Saccharomyces cerevisiae S288C: one gene and its partner. The protein of the gene in region 2 interacts with the protein of the main gene of each other region in a biochemical or structural test. Each region holds a gene or a part of one and is shown on either strand. Other genes may lie near its edges.

Region 1 (3,565 bases), on a different chromosome or scaffold from region 2:
GTAATGCACTATATTTATTAAGACTCACCCGTTTCAAAGCCTTCTTGCTGGCAGTAGTCGCATCTTTTCTAGTTATTTGCAAGACTTCTTCCCAAAGCGCCTCATCATACAGTTTTTTCTGTAAAACTGTTTGTATAGCACCATGGCGCAGGTCAAAATCGTTCTCGAAGAAATCAGAATTAGCTTCTATTTGCTTCGAAATTTCAGACGCATTTTGCAATAGCAGGTTCTTGTATATGATCAAAGGTAAACGCATAGATTGCATCGATATTGTCATGTCAAATATCTGGAAAAGAATTTTATGAAGATTGTTGTCACCGCTATCTATAGGTTTCAAATTATGTGCAAAGATTGTCAATATTGACCCAATAGCGAAAAGGGGCTCATTTTCGTCAAATTTGAATAGATTATAGAATTTCATGTTTGATTCCTTTATCAATGAAGAGATTACTCTCAATTGCTCAAATGAAAAATCTAGTGAGTTCATCATGAAATCCCTCAGATATAATAGGGTAAATGCTTCGATGCAATAAAACAGCCTTTCCATATCAATTTCTTCTTGCAATGAGAGATTTTCTAGTTCCAGTCCGTTCTCTTTTGTGACATTCCAACTAAAACACATGATGAAAACAGACACAATATCATGATAACCTTGGTAATAGTTCAACGTTGGGTACTTTCTCAATACCCGAGTAATTAACTCCACCAGTAGTTTTCTCAATTGCAGTTTCAAGTTTTTGTCGACAATTCCACCAAAAGACCTTTCTGCATCCAATATCACCTGACCTTCATCTTTATGTTTTTCCACTGGTGTAATGTACTCTGTTGCATCATCAATAAGCAACTGGGACGCCAATAATTCATACCAACAATCTTTTCTTAATGAGTTGTTTACAAACCCCAGAGGCCCTAAACCTATGTACCTCAAAGCTCGGACATCTTTTTTCTCTAATAACTTTGATATAACTTTTCCTTTTTGTTCTTCTGCCTTTCCACTGTCACAACGAGAAAGTGATTCCAGATATGCGTTATAACCTCCCCTTGTCAACGCGTCTTTGTCGTGGCTACTCTGATTAGTATGAAATAATGACCTTAATGGCATCGTATTTTGTTAATTGGCTTGTTCTATGTCATTTGCTAAATTTTCTCTTTATTTCTTTACTTTGCCAATTCAAGATAATCTTCCCTTCCCAGAGAGAAAAAAGGAAAAATTTAGCTATGAAACCTCAATAAGCTTTTTAATACACCAAAGATTCAAGATAAGAGCATAGAACGAACTGTAGAATAGTCCGGATATGTTATCCAATGCCTGCCAAAATGCATTGTCACACGCTGTAGTGCTCGAATAGGTGTTGCAATCCGTCAATATACGTCTTGCTCTGTGGGTAAATGTCTCGTGCATTAAGACAGGCTAGTATAAACGAGAAGAAGTATCCTGCTTTGCAATGAAACAATAGTATCCGCTAAGAATTTAAGCAGGCCAACGTCCATACTGCTTAGGACCTGTGCCTGGCAAGTCGCAGATTGAAGTTTTTTCAACCATGTAAATTTCCTAATTGGGTAAGTACATGATGAAACACATATGAAGAAAAAAGCTTTCCTACATATTCAAGATTTTTTTCTGTGGGTGGAATACTATTTAAGGAGTGCTATTAGTATCTTATTTGACTTCAAAGCAATACGATACCTTTTCTTTTCACCTGCTCTGGCTATAATTATAATTGGTTACTTAAAAATGCACCGTTAAGAACCATATCCAAGAATCAAAAATGTCTGATGCGGCTCCTTCATTGAGCAATCTATTTTATGATCCAACGTATAATCCTGGTCAAAGCACCATTAACTACACTTCCATATATGGGAATGGATCTACCATCACTTTCGATGAGTTGCAAGGTTTAGTTAACAGTACTGTTACTCAGGCCATTATGTTTGGTGTCAGATGTGGTGCAGCTGCTTTGACTTTGATTGTCATGTGGATGACATCGAGAAGCAGAAAAACGCCGATTTTCATTATCAACCAAGTTTCATTGTTTTTAATCATTTTGCATTCTGCACTCTATTTTAAATATTTACTGTCTAATTACTCTTCAGTGACTTACGCTCTCACCGGATTTCCTCAGTTCATCAGTAGAGGTGACGTTCATGTTTATGGTGCTACAAATATAATTCAAGTCCTTCTTGTGGCTTCTATTGAGACTTCACTGGTGTTTCAGATAAAAGTTATTTTCACAGGCGACAACTTCAAAAGGATAGGTTTGATGCTGACGTCGATATCTTTCACTTTAGGGATTGCTACAGTTACCATGTATTTTGTAAGCGCTGTTAAAGGTATGATTGTGACTTATAATGATGTTAGTGCCACCCAAGATAAATACTTCAATGCATCCACAATTTTACTTGCATCCTCAATAAACTTTATGTCATTTGTCCTGGTAGTTAAATTGATTTTAGCTATTAGATCAAGAAGATTCCTTGGTCTCAAGCAGTTCGATAGTTTCCATATTTTACTCATAATGTCATGTCAATCTTTGTTGGTTCCATCGATAATATTCATCCTCGCATACAGTTTGAAACCAAACCAGGGAACAGATGTCTTGACTACTGTTGCAACATTACTTGCTGTATTGTCTTTACCATTATCATCAATGTGGGCCACGGCTGCTAATAATGCATCCAAAACAAACACAATTACTTCAGACTTTACAACATCCACAGATAGGTTTTATCCAGGCACGCTGTCTAGCTTTCAAACTGATAGTATCAACAACGATGCTAAAAGCAGTCTCAGAAGTAGATTATATGACCTATATCCTAGAAGGAAGGAAACAACATCGGATAAACATTCGGAAAGAACTTTTGTTTCTGAGACTGCAGATGATATAGAGAAAAATCAGTTTTATCAGTTGCCCACACCTACGAGTTCAAAAAATACTAGGATAGGACCGTTTGCTGATGCAAGTTACAAAGAGGGAGAAGTTGAACCCGTCGACATGTACACTCCCGATACGGCAGCTGATGAGGAAGCCAGAAAGTTCTGGACTGAAGATAATAATAATTTATGATCAAAATTTACGGCTTTGAAAAAGTAATTTCGTGACCTTCGGTATAAGGTTACTACTAGATTCAGGTGCTCATCAGATGCACCACATTCTCTATAAAAAAAAATGGTATCTTTCTTATTTGATAATATTTAAACTCCTTTACATAATAAACATCTCGTAAGTAGTGGTAGAAACCACCTTTGCTTTTACGAGTTCAAGCTTTTTTCTTGCCATGATCTAGAACTCTCAGGCAATATATACAGTTAATCTTTTTTTACTGGGTTGTAGTTCTAATGTATTGTTTCGAAAAATAGCAACCAGGCACATATTATGTTCACCAAGTGGTGTATCCAGTACAGATTTCTTATTCCATAAATGAAACTGAAAACGGTTAAGTACACAAATAAAATGATGGTAACTTTACCATCCCACGTGTCTAAAGGTACGCTGTTTGGCATTTTGAAAATAGAATTATTTCCAACCAAAAAAATAATTGGTGCCACTGCTAGTATATTGTGATG
Region 2 (4,033 bases):
AATATAACAGAGTGAAGAAATGAAGCAATTACGCACAATTTATTGTACTGTGTTCATTCAAAACTCTTAAACATATTATTTTGGCATTTTCATGAGCCCCAAGATAATATCATTTGTTACGTAACATTCTCTATGACAGTAATGGTTTTCTTGAATGACACAAGTAACCACTACAACTTGGTGTGCAGAATAGTGATAGAGCGAACTGAAATTGTGGGTACCTAAATATTCTTTGATTATGAGCGGAGATATGATGCTCTTTCATGTTTTCCTGGCCTGAATTTTGGTATGCTCCTAAAAAAATGGCCAATTAAGTGATCGTGCCAATTCTCTCGTTTATTAAAGACTGTTCTGCTAATCGACTTTTGGAGCAAAAGCTTACTTTTGTTTCGAGCTTAAAAAATTTTTCTTGTGTGGAACTTGTATCAATTTCTCCTTATATTTATATATAATACAGACGTTATTGCTTTTCTATAGAAAAAAATAGAAACCAAAGTAGCAAAAAAGCAGTAAATATTAAAGTAAAGTTTACACACAATTCGTCATTTTTACCGCTAAGCCACATATTAGCTGATGAGCTCATCGTTACATTATTTGAGCCACAATTCACTAAAAAGCAGTATTTCAATCCTAGTCCTGTAAAAATAAAATACTCCTAGTCCAGTAAATATAATGCGACACTCTTGTGTTAAGGGCCTGCAGTATTTTCTGAACTATGTTCGTTTGAGCTTGAATTCTCTTCTTTTGAAGCTGGAGAGTAGCAAAGACTTTCCCCTTCAAAATTGGAGCTTGCAGAATTATGAAGCTTTTCTGAATAATCGAGAGTAACTTTTGAGAATCCTCCAAGTGATATTTCGTCGTCAAAGCTCTGTCCTTGCGTGACGTAAGGGATGTGCCTACTTTCTTTTAGGTCTATTTCATCAAGAATATCATCTGTTTCTTTATCAGCAAACAAATATTTTTTGCTTTTATTTTGAGATTTTCTAGGATCATCTGGAATCCTATAGTCGACATAGAAATGCGCTTGTGATATTGGTGTACCTACACAGGGAGAATAGTTTTCTGTACACGTGGAGATATAGTTCTCAGAGTCTGTAGAAAATGGGTTACGGCTCTCTTTGCGTGAGGACAGCTTGTTTAGCAATATGCCTACTCGTTTTTCCTTATTCTTATCAATGAATCTTTTCCACATGTCAAGTACAAATCCTAGTTTGATGGAACGCAGGAATTTAGAGTACATATGCAAAGCATCAGAACCTAAGCCAAAGATTAGAAATACTAGGTAAGACATCAAAACATAAAGCCATATATTATAAATTGGTCTGCCAGGGTCAAATTTAATAATGGTATTCCAGATGGTGCTGGAATGGGTATTTTTAAAAGTATAGTGTCCTTCTACCTGCTGTAAATCTTGAACAAAGGTGTAAACAGAAAAAGGGAACATGACTAAAATAATAATGAAACAGAATATCAACAGCCTTGCGAACCTTGTCAGGTTTAAACCTGAATTGGTACAGTGTAAAATATCCCTAACGTCCTTGCGTTTTTTATAAAACACGAACAGTACTAAGGTGGCATAAACAGCGCCCACAAATGACCATATAAGCATCCACATGGTATACAAAACAGTGGTAATCCATGTCGGAGACAATAAGTTTTGGCAACCGTTGTAACGAGCGATACCATATCTAAATACTTGTAACAGATATGAAAATCCCATGACCATGACAGGTGTGAACAAGCTAATCACAAGGTCCTTGACGATTTTCGTCCATGATGAAAGATCCGGTAAAACACTATCTGCCTTCAAAATTGTATGCAAGTTGTAAATGATGTTGGTAACGGCACATGATATGCCAATATTCGCACCAACCTGCAACTTGATGACAATATCACACCAACCTTTACCATCCCATCTCGTGAGGAAATCGTCGTCACTCCATATTGCCGCATCTACAATACACGTTAAATTCATTGTAAGAAGCCATGTTATCAAAATGATTGCTGGAATATTCTTGGTATGTGAATGCCATGCTAAAGGGGGAGCTAATAGTATCACAGCTAGCAAACAAAGCCCTATTATTGCTGACTTGTATGACATGAAAATTTTGATAGTATTTTGCCTTTCCTACACAAATTTAATTGCCTCTAAAGTTAAAAAGCAATAAAATAGAATATGTGAATACTGCACAAAATGAATACTTGGGAATTCAGAAATTATTCTTACCTTAAGCATCCACTCATATACATATATATATATATATATGTCTTTTCAAAAGACTTCTGCCCAAATTGTGGAGAGAACTCTGCCTCTCCGTGATAACGGCCAAATGAAACGCATCCAATGATGCAATTATTGACAAAGTTTCAAAGTTTCCGCCATTATTCCTTCATTTACACATTGATAGTCGAGAAGTTTCCTAATTAGTGTCACAATGACAGAGAAAATTGTACCAGCGCTTCTAACGAAAATTAGCACCCATACCCAGAGTTCATAAATCTGGCAATGTGGTACAATAATATAGGATTGGTAACATTTCAATTGTAAAATGTTTAACGTTTAGAGAAAAGGGGAGCCAGAACGCTTCTGGTGGTGTAAATACGGAGAAGTCACCTTAAATAGTTTTGTTCTGATAATTGCATTTTTTTGGAAAGATTTGGCTGCTTAAAAGATTCAAGCAATCAAGAGAAACATTACAAGGCCTGCTTGGCCGGTCTACTAGGCTGAAATAATAAGTTTCTGATTATGGTTATCACGGTAAATGATTACGAAAGGGTAAAGCAACGAATGGTTGTTTTATGGTAAGAATACTTTGGCGAATCAACAAATTGAAGTTGCGCAATGTGCGATTCGCTTATGTATCAAAAAAAACTAAAAAATGAATAGAGAAAATCATATATATAAAAGAAAAAAATATCGTACACCTCTTAGGTAACTTGGAATATATTAAACATGTAAAGAAGGAGAAAACATTAACCTGCATTACAATAATGAACAAGAGATGAAAAAATCCGTAAAGCTTCTGAATCGCGAAGCTCACTATCTATTCCATTATCATCATATAACATCATTGCACTCTTTATACTATTTTCAACAAAATTAACGCAGTTTTCCAAACTAGTACTTAGCTTGCCAATCTTGCCACAGGAAAAGATTTTTCTGGTCTTCTGTTTCAACACGTACTTCCTTTTTCCGACAAAATTCTCATCATAGATATTCTGGTTGCTGTTATTGTTGTTATTGCCAGTAAACTCTCTTTTCAATGCGACATCCCTAATGTCCCTTGAACGTAACGATACTAATAGACTTCTTGTGTAATCCGCCTTTAACAGGTCAATCTTCATAGAATTTGTTATTCTGCTCTCTGATTCTTGACCAGCAGGACATGCTTGCAACTGGAAAAAATTGTTAAAATGGGTTAAATACATTGTATATTTCGGCAATAGTTCCAGAGGTTTATTCATCAAGCCATCATCAATATCAGAATCAGTAGTCAAAATATCCGCATAAGAAGAGTTACCTGGAAAAATTTCGTAAGTGGAATTAAGGTCAGCCAAAGAGGGCTGACATATTCTTTCAAAAGCCTCATCCAAAAGATCATCCTGAGAGATCCTTTGGCAATCTCTTTTCAACTCAACGTTCTTTAGTGGAAATTTATATGATATATTCTTAACCAATGGGGGTGCGTGAGACACATCTCCAACATTAGGAGAGCCAGGTGTGCCCATCCAAGGATACTCATCATATTCGCTGATAGACGGTGATTGTTGCGGAGTGGTTAGTGATAACCTGGAGGTTGCTTGCTGCAAAGAAGACGAACTTGAAGTCCTTTGCATATTTCCAGCAGTTGTTTGCAGCCTCTCCCACGACTCGTTGTGTTTTAAAGAAGGGCTTGGTTGAAAGAACTGAGAAATTGTTGGCCTTTTGTTGAACCAAGAACCGTACGAACCAGGTTGGCTTGAGATAGAAGACGATAGATAATGCAATGAACTACTCCCACTTTTGAAGGAAGATGGCTGAATAACTTCCGCT

The links.
Region 1: the proteins of STE3 (region 2) and STE2 form a complex in vitro, tested with the Saccharomyces cerevisiae proteins (one study listed by BioGRID).

What each region holds. Positions count from the first base shown.
Region 1 is NC_001138.5:80,811-84,375, forward strand, and holds STE2 (alpha-factor pheromone receptor STE2), read left to right. Parts: upstream 1-1,769; coding exon 1,770-3,065; downstream 3,066-3,565. Other genes in the region: GTPase-activating protein GYP8, read right to left, coding at 1-1,102; BST1 (Bst1p), read right to left, coding at 3,335-3,565. UniProt on the Saccharomyces cerevisiae protein: Fungal class D1 G-protein-coupled receptor that acts as an alpha-factor pheromone receptor performing pheromone-dependent signal transduction involved in cellular conjugation, mating projection assembly, and in cell fusion.
Region 2 is NC_001143.9:112,527-116,559, forward strand, and holds STE3 (Ste3p), read right to left. Parts: upstream 2,102-4,033; coding exon 689-2,101; downstream 1-688. Other genes in the region: LST4 (Lst4p), read right to left, coding at 2,974-4,033. UniProt on the Saccharomyces cerevisiae protein: Receptor for the peptide pheromone a factor.